Astyanax mexicanus: one gene and its partner. The protein of the gene in region 1 interacts with the protein of each later gene in a biochemical or structural test. Links are inferred from orthologs where the notes say so. Each region holds a gene or a part of one and is shown on either strand. Other genes may lie near its edges.

Region 1 (10,066 bases):
GGGTCATCAGACTGTGAGATGGGTCACTGCAGGTCACTTTTACTTCACTTTATTACGAATAGTGACTAGTAGTGTAATCCACATTTGAATTGTGTGCACTTGCATGTGGGTGTGTGTGTGGGTGTGTGTGTGTGTGTGTGAGTGTGTGTGTGTGTGTGTGTGTGTGTGTGTGCATGTTATAAAATGATGCTGGGACTCATTAGCTCGGTGCTGTGAGGTTAACTGGTGTCACTCTGTTGCTTTTGTGCAATTGTTTGCCCACTTCCTCTCAATCCTTCAGCTGTGCGCTTGGTTTGGCTTCACTCCAGACTAAAAGCCAGCCTGGCTGACAAATGGCCTAAACCTTCCACCTGCAGCACAGGAGAACTGACTCTGCTCTGTCACATTTACACCTCACCTCACTGTGTGTGCTATTTGTAATTGTATTTAGTTTATTAGTTACTTATTGGGAATGAATATACACTGATGAAGCATACATAGCATTATCATCTGTTTTTACACCAATTATCCAGTTTTTTTTTTTAGCTCCACTGATCACACTGTAGTTTGTAGTATAATTACTGTAGTAGACTGCAGTCCTGTATCTGTTTCTCTGCATGGTTTACTATACTCCTTTCACCCTGTTATTTAATGGTCAAGACATCACTGGACCACCACAGGGCAGGTGTTATTTGGTTGGTGGGTCATTCTCAGCGCAGCAGTGCTGCTAGAGTTTTTAAACACATGTTCACTCACTTTCCTCCACTCTATTTCCTCCACTCCTACCTAGACAGAAGCTCTGAAACTATTTTTGCACAGTTTGTGTTGGTCATTCTTTAGTCCTTCATTCGGTCACAGGTTGCGTCCCACAGCACAGGATGCTGCCCACATAACACTACCCACAGGTCACTTATTCTTAGTCCATCAGTGACACAGTGGTTTCTAAGTGGTTGCTAGGTGGTTGTTAGATAACGAACAGAGTCGCCTGAGGTGTGCTTTTGCTTTTGCATACCTCAGGCGACTCTGCTTGCAGAAATGGCTTCTTTCGCATCACTCTCCCATACAGCTTCTTGTGCAAAGTGCTCTGTATTGTTGACCGATGCACAGTGACACCATCTGCAGCAAGATGATGCTGCAGCTCTTTGGAGGTGGTCTATGGATTGTCCTTGACTGTTCTCACCATTCTTCTTCTCTGCCTTTCTGATATTTTTCTTGGCTTAACAAGAACTGTCCCTGTGGTCTTCCATGTCCTTACTATGTTCCTCACAGTGGAAACTGACAGGTTAAATCTTTTGTATCCTTCATCTGAACAACTATGTTGAACAATCTTTGTTTTTAGATCATTTGAGAGTTGTTTTGATGAGCCCATGATGCCACTCTTCAGAGGAGATTCAAATAGGAGAGCAACTTGCAATTGGCCACTTTAAATACCTTTTCTCATGATTGGATACACCTGGCTATGAAGTTCAAATCAATAAAATGATAAGGGTGCCCATACTTTTGCACCGGTCAAATTTTGGTTTAATGCATATTGCACATTTTCTGTTAATACAATCATTTCAATCCTGAAATATTACTGTGTCCATCAGTTATTAGATATATCAAACTGAAATGGCTGTTGCAAACACCCAAATATTTAGAACTAAAAATAATTAAGATTAATAGGGGTGCCATTTTTCATATAAATGTAAATTACATTAAAATGTGTTTGCACAATACAGTTCAAATACCCAGTTTTAACACTCATGTATGAACTTTATCAACCTGAGACATATCTGTATGACGGAATTAGAAGCAAACCACAGTGTAAATTCATAGTACTTGTACATTTGGTAAATTTTTATGTTTTTTCCTACTCTGTGTGCATTTGCACAAGCCTCTTTCTTGCTGCTGCATCTCTGAAATTGACTTAAAATGGCTTTATTCCAAAACTTTCACTTTTGGCTCAGCAGTCCACAGTAGCCTAAATTATTCCAGAAAGATTGGTGGGGGTCATTAAGGTGTGTTTTGGCAAATGGAGAGAAAAGTCTTTGATGTTCCTCTTGATTAGCAGTGCTTTTTGGCTTGCAGCTGTGCTGTGGAGACCATTTTCCTTGCTCGCACTCTACCAGGCTCCTTATCTACACTTCTGGAAGAGTTTTAGTAATTCAGGGAGATTCAGCACTCTCCATTTGGAGATAATGACTCTCTCTCTGTGGTTTCCTGGAGTCCTAGAGCCTTAGATAAGGCCACAGATGGGCTATAACATAAATACCATCTCCTTATTTCTGCAATAGTTGTCAATTTTATCAGCTCCACTGACCATATAGCAGCATTTTGTAGGTCCATAACAAGTTTCTCTGCATACTTTTTGTTAGCCTCTTGTTCTTTCATGAACAGGACCCCATAGAACCACCACGGAGCAGGTGATATTTTGGGTGGTGGGTCATTATTCTCAGCCCTGCAGTGACACTGACATGGTGGTGGTTTATGAGGTGTTAGTGTGTGTTGTTCTCGTATGAGTGGATGGGACACAGCAGTGCTGCTGGAGTTTTTAAACACCTCAATGTCAGTGCTTTACTGAAAATAGTCCACCAACCAGAAATATCCAGCCAACAGCATCCTGTGGGCAGTGTCTCTGACTTTACATTTACAAGGTGGAGCAGCTAGATAGGAGTGTATAATAGAGTGGACAGTGACACAGTGGGTACATTGTTTAAAAACTCCAGCAGCACTGCTGTGTTTGATCTACTTGTACTGTATCAGCACAACACACAGAGTAACTAACACACCACCACCATGTCAGTATCAGTGCAGTGATGAGAAGGATTCACCATCCAAATGATACCTGCACTAGGGTGATGCTGTGGGGTCTTGAGCATTGAAGAACAGGGTGAAAGAAGAATAATAAAATATGCAGAGAAACAGATACAGGACTACAGTCTGTAATTATAGAACTATATGAAACAGATTACCATATTTTTCACGCTATAAGGCGCACAGGATTATAAGGCACACTATCAACAAACGTCTATTTTTCTGGTCTATTTTAATACATAAATTGCACTGGATTATAAGGCGCATTTAAAGAGACACTATAAGGAACTTCTAATTCAGCAGGTCTCGCCACTGTGTGGTGGTGGCGGGTAGCTAACTAAGTTAAGTAAAGCTAAGCTAAGTAAACAAAACTGTCAAACAAGCACTGGATGTTAATCTACACACATTCCTCTCCTGAAAACTGTTTATTTGGGTGAGTAAAGTGCTTCTGTTTATTTACAGTGAGCTTAGATTCCCAAATTTTTCAAGTACTAAGGCTGGAGCCTTAGCATTAACAGCTAACTGCTAGTGGTTAGCGACTAATGCCGCCTGAGCTACACTGACGAACCCTGAGTGTTCCGGGTAATAGCCAGGGCAATATCACCTAGAACACCTAAAACAGTTCGTCCCACGTACCCTGTTTTAACACGGTAGACAACGCACAAACAACAGTCCAATATACTAACCTTTGAACAATGAAATAGCTAGCACAGATAGCAGCTAATGCCAATACTGCTCTAGCAGTGCAAGCCAGGGTTGGCAGCAGGCTACAGGCTGATAATACTCACCTCTGCACAGGGAAATAGCAGCTAATGCTAATGCTACTGTTCAACCACTGGTGGAAAGTTGTATGCAGTAAAATGTACTACATACACTTGTAATGTAGTTACAGTTGTCTATCTTTTTGTTGTCATGGGATGACCAATGATCCAGATATGTGTGTATGAAATATACAAAAAAAAACAATTCTGGATATGGCAGTCTGTCTGATTATTTATCTACTAATTATATGTCTGTCATTTCAGTATGTACTTTACAGAAAGTATTTATTCTGAAGTGTTGTTTTAGTGTTTTTTTTAGTCTACAATTCTAAAATGTCTATAAACGATGGCAATTTTTTAAAATTGAAATTAAATTCACAGTTTACTTTATCACTTTTAACACCCTGACCTTTATCTCATATGTGTTAAAATAAACAACAGGGGGATTTTAGAAGTGGCTATAGTTATTTTTATTTTTAAACAGTAACCCAGAGCATGCTGCTCATTTTAATGCCTCAGCTCTTGTGGTCACTCAGCCCTGATCAGAAGTGAAAGCACCAATATAGACTTGCTTAGAAGTCAGGTATATTTCTGCTCTATGTGTTCCACTCTCTACCTCAATGTGCTCACTTCTGCATCTGAGCGTGAAATGAGCGTTTAGAGAGCGAGCGTCCGATACCATGCTGTGCCTTTCGTTTCCCATTCTCATATTGGTGGTATGGAGCTTTAAAAGGGAAAAAATCTACCATAGTACACTTCTGTGCATATATTAACCATTTGAAATCAACCTTAAATAAATCAATTACTTTATTTTATATTTTATTTTAGTTTATTAATTTTTATTTAAACACATCTTAGTTGTGGTGTATATATACAGCTCTGGGAAAAAAATTAGACCACTTAAAAAAGATGAGTTTCTTTTATTTTACCAAATTAAAAACATCTGGAGTATAATTAAGAGGAAGATGGATTATCACAAGCCATCAAACCAAGCTGAACTTCTTGAATTTTTTCACCAGGAGTGGCATAAAATTATCCAAAAGCAGTGTGTAAGACTGTTGGAGGAGAACATGCCAAGATGCATGAAAACTGATCAAGGTAAAAATGTTATCCATAGCTTATAGAATAAAACAAAAACAATAGTAAACAGTAGTAACAGTAGGTGCAGGATTTATTATTTTTTGCATTATGTTTCTTTAATATTTAAACAAACAAAAAAAAACTAAATAAAGTTTGCTTGGCTTAAATAACTAACTTCTTTCATAACCTTCTAATCATTTACTCAGCATTTTCATTTGATTGTATGTATTTCTCGTGGGAACTGTCTTTTATAGTTTTGGAAATGTAACAGGGTGTGTGTTAACAAATGGACAATAATAGAATACAAAAGTAAATAAAAAAACAGCTTAAAGAGAAAATTCTAAGATTGTTTAGCAAGGTTTTGAAAAGGTTCCAGGAAGGTTAGAGAAATTATTTTCTAGAAAAGGTCTGAAAACGTGTGACCAAAATAATGGTTTGCATCACAATGTTATTAGAACATTTATCATATAATGTTCCAAGCTAGATGGAAACCTTACTAAAAGTAGCATTGCCAAAGCTTAAAATTAAAACATTGACAGTGTTGTTTCAGCAACGTTACCAGAACGTTTAAAAATGTTATAAGAACATCCAAAATACTTGACAGATAAAATGTTTAAAGAATGTTAACTAAAATGTTCAGAAAATGTTCTACTAACCAAAAAAAAAAACATTGTTAGCTTAAATGAACACTTTAGAGATCTGTTTTATGTGTGGATTAAATAATGTGTTAACAATGATTATATATTACGTCATACAGGAAGAGGATGTTAAATAAAGTCTAAAATATAAACTCTTGTGTTGTTAAATGTTATGTTTTATACATTAAATTCACCAATGAAAATATTCATTTTACTTTAATGTGAGTTTTAATTAAACACATTTTGGTTGTTGTGTATTTATATACAGCTCTGGAAAAAAAATAGAGACCACTTAAAAATAATGACCAAATTGAAAGCATCTGGAATATAATCAAGAGGAAGATGGATGATCACAAGCCATCAAACCAAGCTAAACTGCTTGACTTTTTGCACCAGGAATGACATAAGGTTATCTAAAAGCAGGGTGTAAGACTGGTGGAGGAGAACATGCCAAGATACATGAAAACTGTGATTAAAAAACAGCGTTATCCAGTGTTATAGTTTATAGAATAAAACCAAATTATATACATAAATAAAGTGGTGCAGGCAGTTTTTATTTCATGTGAGATTCAATTTAACACATTTTAGTTGTTGTGTATTTATATACAGCTCTGGAAAAAAATTTTAGACCACTTAAAAATTGGGATCATCACAAGCCAACAAACCAATCTGGACTGCTTGAATTTTTGCACCAGGAGTGACATAAAGTTATGTAAAAGCAGTGTGTAAGACTGGTGGAGGAGAACATGCCAAAATGCATGAGAACTGAGATTAAAAACCAGGGTTATCCGTAGTTATATATAGTTTATAGGATAAAACCATATTGTTAATAAATAAATAAAGTTGTGCAGACAGTTTCTAATAATCCTCCAGAGGATGACCCTCCATCTTTCTTCATGAATGAATGCTAAAGCAGTGGATTGTGCAAGTCAGGACAACACTACATGCAACAGCTGGAAACTCCTAGATATAAAGAGAGAGAAAAAGAAAGAGAATTTAGTAGACGTACAGACAGATGGACAGAAAGACAGACGAGCATAGAGGCAAGAGGAACTTCCCACACTTCCCACATTATGTCAAGCTTGGTTGCAGCATACTTACAATCAGCACCTCCTGTCCGGCAGTTCCTGTCAGAGCAGTTCACGCAGCGTTAGTGGAGTAGCCGAGGCTGAGATGAGTCTGCCGACCAGGGAGCAGTTTGAGGACTGGGGTCCGGCTCAGGTGGCCCTTTTCCTGACTCAGGTAAGAGATCAGAGAAGTGGTCTTTAGGATTTCTCCTCAGGAACTGTGCTGAACATTCTGCAGCATTTTCAACACAATCTCTATCTGACACATCTGTAACACGCAGTCAGATAACATAGGGACTGTACTTTCCTTTACTAAAAACACACTTAATAAACTAACAGAAGATACTTAACCATATAATATACTCTTATTTAAGTGTGTTAACAACTGTCCTGACCTTTAACTATACGCAAAATTAGTGGTTATAGAAAGTCAAGCTTGTTTCCCTTTCACAGATGAGAGAACAGATAAGCACATTGAGCACAGCCCGAGCTTTCACCACACGTGAACTGCATTTTAAATATGGTGTGTGCATGTGTGTGAGTGTGTGTGTGGTTTAAGAACTGTTACAGAGGTGCAATATTATTTATATTTTTCGAACAGAACAAGATGCGAGAGTGTGCTTTAACAGTACAGAGGATGAAGATTGATGGCCGCTGGTTTCTGGTAAGAAGAAATAAATGACTACATGGTGCTAAATGGGGCTAATTAAGCTTTCTAACACTTTACAATAAGACTACATTACTTAACAGTTATGTACTGTACTTACAACAGAATGTCTCATCTAGGCATTAATTGACACTAGTTGAGACAGTATTAATAATAGTAACAATTTAATGAACTCAATATTTATATAAAACATAAGCAGTTAAATTATATTGTAATGAACATATTAAAAAATATGTTAACTAATGTCAGTTAATAATAAAAAAATGTTTATTACCGTCCTATATACCTTTACTGAGAAGTGTTAACATGCTATGTGTACGTATCTTATCAAATAATACGATTTATACTATCTAACCTGAAATAATCTGAGTTGTCCACCCCCCCCTCCCCACTCACTCACAAGTCTCCACAAGTGCCCAAACACAACATAGTACATATTTACTTGATTAATATCAGTATAATCTACACTTAAATATCATCTGGGCAATTAAATCCCCTGGTTTTGTTGTTTTTGTCATTTTGGAGCATCAGACAGAGCAGGAAGCTGATAAGTGTGTTTGAATCAGAGCTGCAGTTTGGAGTCAGGTGAAGAGAAGCTGCTCTGCACTGAATTTGAGAGCTTAATTTTTTTAAGATAAAAGGCTTGAGCCCAGTAACAGCGAATCTTCTTCTTCTTCCTCCTCGTATTTAGTCCCACTCGAGGGTGGGGTCCGTGTGTTTGGATGCTCGTCATCATTTTGTTCGATGCAGGGCGCTTTCAAGGGCGACGCATGCGTATTACATGTCTTCTCTTATCTGGTCCATCCACCACTTCTTTGGCCGTCCGCAAGGCCTCTTACCTTGCAGGCTTATGTGCGGGGCCCATTCATGATGAATTTTTGAATTTTTGCACCATGAGTGGCCTAAATTTATCCAAAAGCAGAGTGTAAGACTGGTGGAGGAGAACATGCTAAGAAGGTCTGAAAGCTCTGCATCTGTTGTGTTAATATCAGCCATTTCTCATTTTCTGCAAATAAATGCTCTAAATGACAATATTTTTATTTGTAATTTGGGAGAAATGTTGTCTGTAGTTTATAGAATGAAACAACAATGTTCATTTTACTCAAACATATACCTATAAATAGCAAAATCAGAGAAACTGATTCAGAAACTGAAGTGATCTCTTTTTCTTTTTAAGAGGAGTATATATATATATATATGGTCAAATTCATGCAAATATCTATTTTCTGTTTACATACATTTCAAATGAAGACTTTTGTTCGTAAATAGTATTTATGCATCTAATGTCTATCTTTGCACTTTTGTCCTCTGTTCTGGAGAACTTGTACTGTACAACCCAGTATGAGTATAATACCGATAAAGTTTAATTTAATTAAACAGCAATACAGCGGTGTAAAATACCAGACTGGACTTTCATTTAAAGAACACTCACAAAAGATCATGCATGCTAACGTGGTTAACAATCAATATAAGACATGCAGTACTAATTGGGATTTGCTACTTTTCCATTTCCCTGAACCAAATGAACAAAAACCCAGAGTTTCTGCTACAGATGTGCTGGAACTATGATAGAGTAGAAATGGGGACTGACTGGTCCCTGAGGACTTGACTACACTTGTCTACTCCATTACATTTTGTAAGATGAATTCAATTTTCCTGCACTACATTTCCCCTAAGGGGTGTAGTTACATTTTAGAAAAATGGCAATACCTTGCTCCCAATCCCTTTAGATTAATATATAAAGCTTACCCACAGTACACACACTGTTTGTACTCTGTGTTGTTATTCAGTCAGTGCCTTTATCAGGCCTCGGCAGGTTAAAATTACACAACAGAACAGAAACGGATCACGGAGGTTTAGCTAAATGTTTCATTTTCAGTTTGTTTCTTTATAAAATATCAAAGTTTGATTTTTTTTTATCAACAGAAAAAAACAAGATCTGCTACCAATTCCTAATTAATCTTGTCACCAGCTAATCTTACCTCAACTTCAGTCTCTTTAATGTTCAAAGGATTATGAAAGATGAAAGTGTTCGTTAGCAGGGAAGTCACTGATAGATCATTACAGGTGATGAGAATTAAAAAAAGATAAAAGTTGTGAAAAAGTAAAAAAAAGAGTGTGATTAGGGAAGTGAGATGACAGAATAATGGCACTTCCTCTGCTAGGAAATGTGTAACACATGGGCTTTTATGATGAAGTCACTAAAACACCCTGTCATAACCCTTTCCTGCGATAAACGCTTTACCATAAAATCTGTCTGATTTATTCAAATGTGAACTGGTCAGTTGGTTTGGTCAGACATGCAAATTAGGCTGAGAATGCAGCACAACACAAAAAGTGAAATTAGGGAAGTGCTTGGTCTATGAGGTGAAATGACTTAATTCAGATTTAAAGAAGCTCTATTGGCATGACTGTACTGCCAACAATATTGCCAAAGCATTACAATAAAAACAGCAACAACACAATTACAATAAAATAAAACAACAAGATTTACTAAATAAGTGACAATAGTAGTGAATACAATTATGAAAAACATTAAACGCTCAGATTTTTACAAAGGGATATGTATAAAATACAATTCTGAAAAAAAATAAGAGACCACTTAAAAATGATGAGTTTCTTTGATTTTACCAAATTAAAAACCTCTGGAATATAATCAAGAGAAATACCACAAGCCATCAAACCAAGCTGAACTGCTTACATTTTTGCACCAGGAGTGACATAAAGTTATCCAAAAGCAGTGTGTAAGACTGGTGGAGGAGAACATGCCAAGATGCATGAAAACTGTAATTAAAAAGCAGGGTTATCCCACCAAATATTGATTTCTGGACTCTTAAAACATTATAATATAAAAGCTCTGCATCTTTTTTGTTATTTCTTATTTTCTGCAAATAAATGCTCTAAATGACAATATTTGTATTTGGAATTTGGGAGAAATCCATAGTTTATAAAATAAAACAACAATGTACGCAATTGTATATATGTATATATGTGGTCACTGATGTCTTTATATGGTCAGGATTTGTTTTTCTAAATGCTATTGGCTCTATTATACATCCTGAGCAAGGCACGGCAACA
Region 2 (9,697 bases), on another chromosome or scaffold:
GTGCATGTGTATTTTTATGTGTAAATGCATGTGTTTTAAAGGAGGGGATTGGATCAGATATTATTTATGCCCCCAAATTTTAAACTCCCACAGAGAATTTTTTTTTTTTTTTAACTGCACTTGCACTCACCCATACACGTTTATTTACTCGCAGACCATCCTCTGTGCCAATCAATTTTTTTTTTATGTTTAATATTAGTTATATAGTGAAATATGTAGAGGCAAAGGGATATCTCTACTTAAAGAAATGAATGTGATTAATGTTTAATGCAGAATTCATGGCTCAAACCTTTATTGTCGTGAAGCGAGCTGAAACAGAAATTCATAAAATTGATAGTATAAGGTTGATTTTAACGCTCAGTTAAGCACATTTTCCACATTTTCTTTAAGAAACTTAAAACTCTCTTATAATATCAGCCCACATTTGGCTACTGGTGAAAGTAAGTCCACAAGTTTTATGTTGTTTTAATAAATGGAAAATGTCTGCTACTGATAATTTAGATCCCTTTTAAACAATTAATAACATATTTTGCACAGATTTTTGCTTTTCCTGCTCAAGCACACCTTACTCAACCTGCCGATTCACAATTGCCAATAGAAGGTCTGTTAGGCTACTTTCAGACTGCTGGCAAATTAGATTTGTTTATCAAATTAGATCTGTTGAGATTACTTTTCACACTGATATTCAGTGATCAGATCAGATTTGTACATCCGGTTATCATCTGTATCCTATCAGTCACTCTGAATTTGATGAGGTTGTTTGTCAAGAAAATGCATTGAAATCCTGTTTGAAGGGACAGAGCGTCCAGACAAAGATGCATCTATACAAATCTGACTGTAATCGCGTTTAAAACCACGCGGTTTGGAACCTGTGCTACGTTACAAAAATCAGACTTGATTTATGTTTTCTGGCTGATCAGAATATCAAAACTCAAAATGGGAAAAAGTCTAGATAGGCCACAAAATCAGAGGTTGATTTGAGGTGGCAGTCTAAACACAGCCTTTTAGAGCAGGGAAATCAGTAAACTGTGCTGCAGCAGTCCTTTATTGTGCATATTTACTCAGATCCATGACTCCGTTTGAGACTCTGCCTTTACAGAAAAGCCTTTGAGTGCATTTGAGTGAGAAAGAAGAGGAATAGAAAGTAGGTTTTATTGATGGAGAGATGAGGAACTGAAAATAGATGGACACTGTAGGTTAACTGGAGGAGTGGAACTGGAGCGGTGACTCCTCCAAAGTTTGCTTTGATATACCCATACAATGGCGAGATATTAATATTATTATAGTAATAGTAATATAATATTAAATAATGCAGTTATAGCTTCCAATAGACTTCAGGCATGTAGAATAACGGACACTCACAGCTGTTGTTTTATTGGATGTTTTGTGCAGCAGTTACACACATCCACTGTGGTTGGAGGTCACATGTCCTCAGAGCGCATGCAGGGGTTCAGGTCCTAACATTCCGTCGGCGGCACTGTTTGTTTGGAGACCGTTGCAGAAAGTTTAAGGGGTGGTTTTGTTACATGCTTTTTATACATACACATTTTTGTCAGGTCAGATACACAGCGACTGTATGATCGTTCTTTCTGTATCTCTCTATTTTTATGATTGTAATTATTGCGTTGTTTTCAGATTTGTAGTTTAGTTTTAAAAGGTAGTCTTGAAAATTTGCAGGACCAAAGAGATGTAATCAGCTTAATCAGGTGGATATATTCCTTAATTATTCAGTATTTATAAGCATAATATTGGCTGTAATTGTCAGTGGCTAATTTACATGCTGTTCCCAAACCCTGAATGCAAATGTATGTGAGAATACATAATATATATATATAAAAAGATATATATAGAAGAATAGTATAGTCTATACAGTATATGAACAAGGACTGATCTGCCATAACATTGAAACCACTCAGAGGAAAAGAGCATTGAAGTAACATTGATTATTGAGTTACATTGGCACATGTCAAGGAAGAGGAACTATACAGTCAGTTTCTGAAGATGTGTTGAAAGCTGAAAAAAGGTCAGTTGTAAGAATCTAAAGCACTTTGACAAGAACCTATTTGAGATGAATCCGAGCATCTCTAAAACGTTAGAAAGGTCTTGTGAGTTTTTTTCAAGAATTAAACTTATAGAACCTATGAAAAGGGGTCTAAGAAAGGACAAATTACTGAATAATACATGCTGGCTATAGGGTTTACAGTCAGGGCTCTTTCAGCAACACAAGAGGGATTTATACAATATTAGGCATGTGGTTTCAATGTTATGGCTGGTCGAGTTATAAATCAGAATATATAAAGATTTATATGATAGTAATATTTAGGATTAGCCTTAAGTAAGTATTGTTTGCTTGGTCCTATATTAATAATTTGCCTTAAATGGACCATCAAGTCTTTGCCAATAAAGCTGACCTATTGACCGATCCAGTACAGTACAAATAGGGAAATTCCTTTTCAAGTAAATGAGCTTCAGATATCAGAATATTAGGACCACCTCCACATTTCTACATTCATTGTCCCTCTGATCAGCTCCTCTAAACATATAGGAGTATTATGTATACTTTCTTAGCATCACTGTAGTGTTGAGAAGGATATCTGCTTCATGGTGGTGCTGTGGTTTCCTTAGCATTGAAGAACAGGGTGAAAGGAGAATAATAAATACTGTAATGCAAAAAATCAGATTACAGAGCTAAAGTCTGTAACTATAGAATTACAAAGTGCTCCTATATGCTCAGTGGAGCTGATGGAATTAATTTTGAGTGTAGAAACAATGAGGATGTTATAATATTGTGAGTATAAATTCCTATCCAGAAAGGATTAGTATCACACTTCTACTCCGTGATAAAACGTTTGCATCTGCACAGCAATTGAAGAAACAGGAGGATCAGTGAGTTGTTTTTTTTTTTTTTTTTTGGCCTACTCAGTCACATGACATTACGTTCAGTAGCTCCTCCATTTCCACTTGCTGTTGTGTTTATGCAGATATTCAGGAAAATGCACGCCCAAAGTGTAATTACGGTGGATTTTTAGTGGAAAATAGCTATTTTATTAAATGCGAGGTGATGAAACTCAGACATCTCAAAATTATCTTATGAGTTCAGCGAAAAACAGTAATTCATCCTACAACACACAGAAAAACACAGATGGTTGTTCTGGACAGGAATAAAATCACAGAGGACCCCCATAAAAGAGAAAATTACCCCAGGACCCAGATAAAGAAAAAAAATCTTAGGTCTAAAATGTAAAACATAAGGTTTTCCATACTGCCCTCTGGTGGAGTGATTAAAATCTAGCTATACTGTTTATCTGCTGAGCTGTGTGCTATTATGGCCTTTTAGCACAGTTGGATTTTGGTGACCTTTCAGTGAAGCTTGTCTAACTGTAACAAGAACACAAGCCTCATAGTTTGTTCTCATCGCTGGCTGTTTCACCTGTACTGTTACTAGTCATTGTAATGACCATATATATATATATATATATATATATATATATATATATATATATATATATATATATATATATATATATATATATATATAAATATAAATTATATATATGAATATATATATATATAGTATATTTGCATTGCAATGGCCACTCTTTCTGATTTAAAGAATTTGTTTTAAAGGATCATTCATGCAACAAATATGCTTGTTATCTTAGGGTAATTAGCAAAGTAGATGAAATGGATTGTGGTGTAATTATGTTGCTGAATCTTTTGAAATACAGATCTATACTGTAGTGCAGTTCTCCATCCTTTTATTATCAAGTGTTTTACAGTAACTGCAAACAAAATGGGTTGTGGGGATTGGGAACTTTTTAAGCATTTAATTGAAAATGTGCGTTACAGTGAATAACCATGCATTGCCTTCATGTAAGAGGGAGTCAGAGAGAAAGAACTCCCTTGATCTAGACTATATAAAGAAATCCTGACCTGTAGAATAAATATGTGGAAGGTCGAGCATCTTAGAGGATCTTAAAGACTTGCTATTACACTTTTTCAGATGAAAAAGAGAGAATTCAGTGATGTTTCTTTCTTTCTTACTCCACAACATGCTTTTATCTAGCCAAGATACGCACACCAACACACACATATACACACACACACACACTCTTATTGATATGTATGAATCTATTTATAATGCAGGGTGGCTCATGCTGAATTTTTTTCTTTTTTTTTTCTTTATTCTGTCTCAAGGGCTGACTAGTGAACCTAGTGGTGCTCTTCCTCTTTTTCATCATCAGCAGATGTTTCAGTTCCACATCTGCAGGGTGTTTTGCCTGCCATGTATCCACCCCCACCCAAATTTAAGCCCTCACAAGCTTCACAAATTAGCAAAGCATTTGTTGTAACATTTTATATAATGCAGTTTTAGAGTCACATTGGTTTTAGCCACATTTTCTGCTTCTTTCACATAAATGCTGTGTACATTTTCTTTGTGACAATTATGTAAAATTGTCGCTCATCCCTCTGCTGTCAATCTTTAGAAATGATTATGCAAGAACTATTCTGTGTATTTGGGCTTTTCATTTTATTATGTAAGATACTTTAATGGAATTGAGGTACTTTTTTATTATTACTGTAATTTCCCTTTTTTTTTTTTTTTAAATAAATGATTTAAAACAGCAGTTTGTCTTTAAATTATGATGTGTGCGTGTGTTTATAATATGCTTTCACATATACTGACAATGCAAAACTGTACCCTTGGAACACCTACAGTTGTGTGAGGTGATATCTTGTGAGTGAGGGTAAACATTTCCAGTGTGCTCATAGCAAGGCAAGAGTTCCAATTAGGCCTGATAGTGGGTGTCAAGTGGATCCACAGTAGGTTCGTGCAGTGTCCTTTACCTTCTATAGGACATGGCAAAAGTCACGGGACACAATACTGGTTTCTGTCTTGTAACTTGTGGTATGCGCGTGAATGATTAAGTGTTCATTTAACAGTTATCTGAGACATTCCAGGCAAACTGGCAGCTTGGTTATGGGGAAAAACATAAAAAGAAATATGGAGAAAAATTAATTATTTAAAATAAGGAAATAAAGTGCCCTAGAATAGAAATACCATAAGTCATAAAAAGCAAAGTATGTGTGTAAATCTATGCTTTGATTTCATACTCCTCATAGCAACATATCAATTTAAAAGTAGTTACCAAATAAATCCTCTAAAAATGCTCTTTATCAGTTAGCTTTTATTTAATAAAAGACACCCTGGAAAAGAATATTTGGTCATAGTGAAATAATATATAATAGTTAACTAATTAAAATTTGCAACATGGAGGCAACATACTTTAAAATGTGTTGCCAAACAGCTGTGCAACAAGTCAATTCCAAAACTCGCTAAAATATTCCAAAATAGCCTTGACTCATATTTGCACCCCAACATACATGAAACCTTTTGCACTAGAGAATGCATTTTTAGATAGATAGAAAGAGATACTTTATTGATTTCAGAGGGAAATTCTGGAAAGTTCAACGCAACAACTACTTTGAGAGAACATTGAATTCCTTATAGGTTAAAAATGCTAAATACTAACATGACATGCTGACAGTGAATGTCAGTCTGTATGCAAGGTGGTAAGGTGGGTGCAAGGCTAAAAGCTAACCCAGTAGAGGCAAGCCAGGTAATTGCTGCAACAAGAAGACTCCAAACGGTCCAAAAAAGATGGCAGCACCTTTAAAGCTACCTTTGTAAAGAGTCAAGGAAAATAAACATGTCATAGTGGCACTGTTACAGTGTTAGGCTAGACTAGGCAGTTCTATGAACTGGCCAATCAAAGCAAAGTTCATTGTTTTTCCACAGAGCCACCATTAAGAAAGTTAGCATGTTGTATTCTGAGGTAAAATTACAGGATTGTACAGTACAAGTCTTGTAGTTTATAGAATAAAAATACCTTGCTAAAATTCTCAATAAGTGCAGTTTTGTCACCTTATTAATGTAAATAGTTAATTTACAAATATATATGTTTGTATTTATTAAACCCCAATATATATTAAGCTAAAATATTACCATATTAAGGAGAAGAAAAGAGAAATGACAGAAGTTGAGTGGTGGGGAAGGGAAAAAAACAAATGAGTGGGAGTGAACAGAAAAAAGACTTGTTATACAGCGAGGAAGTGGCATTTAAGTCACTGTTTTACTGGACTCTGTGTTTGAAGTACAGAAGATGAAGATGGAAGCAAGCATTGTGGTTCTGCTGTGTCTCCTGGCAGGTACGTATGAAAAAGTAATTTTATTGGTTTTAATTGACATTTCCTGTTAATTGGAAAACTGCCTCAGCTAATTTACAGTGTTTTATTATTGGCTAAACTAAATTGTTACCAATATGTAAAGAGGTACAAGGTGCTGTACCTGCAACTTCTGAAGAATGTTTTAAGGCTTGTTTTTGTTATCTTGGGTTAATGAGGAGTCTTCAATACATTACTACTTAACTGTATTACTACATAACTGTATTGAGCTTAGTCTGTTTAGTTTTATTTGCCTTGGTCTCATCAGCCACAGTTCAGAGACACTAGTTCCTGTCTTGCTTCAGTGGAGCTTATCTCCTTCTGAGCAGATGTTCCAGGCCTCTGAACAGTGTCATATTTCAGTTTATTCACTGTTACAGGCCATAAAATGTGCACAATCAAAAATTCTTCTTCTGTGTGGATTGTTAAAGTGATTTTAGATTAGTTTATGTGGGAGACAAAAAATTAGTTGCATGTGAAAGCTTGAATAACCCCTGTGAAATGACACCCTGCTAAAAAGCTAGCATGGCTAGCTTAAATACTGACCCCATATATGACTATTTAAAAAGCATAAGGCATTATAAGGTGTAATAAGGTGCTTTTAGATCCAGTTTGTTTTTAAGAGATCTGGGGTGGGTTTCCCGAAAACGATCAATCTTAGCGAATAACGAACGAACTAACGAATGACGTGTGTAAAGAACGAGCCAGTTCTGCGAGTGTTTCCCAAAGAGCTTCGCAACGTGAAAATTAACGAACGAGGTTAAAGAACATCTTTGTTGACTCCTCCCCCGAAACAGCGCGCTCAATCGATCCACAAATATCGATTCAACACTGCAATATGCAGTATTTATTCACTATTACACCCTAAAAACGTAGAAATGTGTTGTAATTAACAACATTATACTCCTAAAGATACATATGACTAAATAAATACTCGAAAATCTAATCTATTTTAAAACATTAAACTTATTTTTACATTTTTAAAACTATTATTGTTAATATATATTATATTAATATATATTATACTAATATTATTAACAGTAATATTGATAGTAATATTAATTTATTATTATTCTAATTTTTGTGTATTATAAAAATAATATAATAATACATATGTTCCTGTGTGTGTATATATATACACACACACACACACACATATATATATATATATATATATATATATATATATATATATATATATATATATATATATATATATATATATATATATATTACATTTTAAACCAACAGAAATATGTTTTGTACTTTATACTGTGAAGCTCCAGCTCATCCTAAATCACCATCTCAGTTGGGTTTATGTCAGGGGATTGTCAAAGCCATGCACCTTTTTGTCTACTAATTCCATTTGCGTCAATTAGTTTTCATGGTTTTAATATTAATCGACAATGTAAAAAAAAAAAAAAAACATGGAATGAGACGTGTCCAACTTTTGACTGATATTTGCGAGCTGACACACCCCAGAGTTTGCCCAGATGAACTTGGTGACTTTGCAGCTTTGCTTAGACCGTGAGCATCATCTGCAGGAATTGACTGATTGCATTTCTTGCAGCATTAATGTCAAGACTTCTATCATCGCTAATCTGGATTTAAATAATTTACTCGTGGGTTTGATTGCCCAGTTAGACTACAAGCCACAGTTGGCATTATAATATAATATAATATAATATAATATAATATAACTTATTCACTCATTTACTCACTCGTCAACCGCTTTATCCGTTAAGGGACGCGGGGGGGGGGGGGGGGGGGGGGGGGGGGGCGGGAAGGGGGTGAGTGGCTGGAGTCTATACCAGCTGGCATCGGGCTGAAGGCAGTATACACCCTGGACAGGATGCCAATCCATCACAGGGCAGACAGACACAGACAGACACACAGACACATTCACTCACACCTAAGGGGCAATTTTTATCCGACATCTAATTAGACTGAACTAATTTCTTTGGACTGTGGGAGGAAACCGGAGCACCCGCAGACACGGGAAATAATATAATATAATATAATATAATATAATATAATATAATATAATATAATATAATATAATATAATATAATATAATATAATATAATATAATATAATATAATATAATATAATATAATATAATATAATATAATGTAATGTAATATAATATAATAATTATATAATATAATAATAATTATATAGTAATATAATTGATTATAATTAATAGTAATATAATATAATATATTAATATTAATAATTATATAGTAATATAATTGATTATGATTAATAGTAATGTAATATAATTGCTTCAAACACGGAAATTATCATTTTTCTTCCTCAAAATTGGCGGTCCCTGGTGTTTAAGGTGCTGAACTGCAAGTCGAGATCCCCTAAAGAAGCTCGTTAAAAATAACGACTGGGTGAGAGCACTCGTTAATCTGCGAGAGAGTTTACGTAGTACTTTAGTTACGCACGGGTTTGGGAAACACTCTTTAATTAACGATCAATCTTAAGTACGAGTTAACGAAGTTCTTAGCGTTACGAAGCTTTCGGGAAACCCACCCCAGATATTGGAGAGAAAATATGATAAAAGCCTGTTTTCTCCTTCTCTTTCACACGTGTGATTGGGGAAAAAAGTCTGTCAACTGTACGCACGTTTGTGTTCACTCTTGGGCCACTTGATTCAGATTCTGGGAGATTTTATCTGACTTGCGCTTATCAGGGAGCCATTATTGATATGGGGTAGACTCCCTCAACTTCCGGGAGACTTGGGTATATATACCCAATATACAAGCAGGTGAATTAAAGTTACACAAGGCATAGAACTTTAAAGGTTCGATGCTTTTTCAAGAACGTCATAAACAATTAAATTCGGTAAGACTTGAGGCTTTCAATACTACATACTGTTGGGAAAATCAGCACTACCCTCAACTGCTCCAGTGCGTTCCCCTTGATTCTTTTGATGGAAGCCCGAAGTAGAGTTGATAGAGAGACAGGATACTTAGATCTTCAGCAAATTAGCAATTTATTACAACAGAGCTCTGGGAACCCCTTCCACTCAGACAGAGTTTCAGTAGAAGAAGTTCAGTGATCCTTACATTTGCAAGACCTTGTATCACCCAAAACCCCATCCAGCCATCCTGTGCAAAGGTCAGTTAAGCGGTTCCTCAGCAACTGTTTCTAACTGATTGAGTTAAAACACAATCTATGATTACTACTGTTCTCTACCTGTACTCTGGCCTCACCTCTGCTGCTTAGGTGCTGACTTTTGCATTACAAACTACAGACTGGACATTCAGTTTTGAGGTGTCAGCCTAACTGTCCTTTGCACACTCACCCACATACACAGTTCAGGTCCAATATCTAAAAACAACTCACTACTTGGGTTCACACAAACAAGATTATTTACATAACACGTCATTCTCTTACTCATAGTAAGGGTTTTGGATTAAATGTAATTATGCATAATTAACTGAAAGCCTACATTTAATTT

What was found.
Region 2: the proteins of blnk (region 1) and cd79a form a complex in vitro, tested with the Homo sapiens proteins (2 studies listed by BioGRID). The link is inferred for Astyanax mexicanus from reciprocal best matches to the Homo sapiens genes BLNK and CD79A.

Annotation. Positions count from the first base shown.
Region 1 is NC_064414.1:41,072,445-41,082,510, forward strand, and holds the start of blnk (B-cell linker protein), read left to right. Parts: upstream 1-6,366; 5' UTR 6,367-6,427; coding exon 6,428-6,496; intron 6,497-6,922; coding exon 6,923-6,985; intron 6,986-10,066. UniProt on the Homo sapiens protein: Functions as a central linker protein, downstream of the B-cell receptor (BCR), bridging the SYK kinase to a multitude of signaling pathways and regulating biological outcomes of B-cell function and development.
Region 2 is NC_064408.1:109,121,620-109,131,316, reverse strand, and holds the start of cd79a (B-cell antigen receptor complex-associated protein alpha chain), read left to right. Parts: upstream 1-5,983; 5' UTR 5,984-6,164; coding exon 6,165-6,210; intron 6,211-9,697. UniProt on the Homo sapiens protein: Required in cooperation with CD79B for initiation of the signal transduction cascade activated by binding of antigen to the B-cell antigen receptor complex (BCR) which leads to internalization of the complex, trafficking to late endosomes and antigen presentation.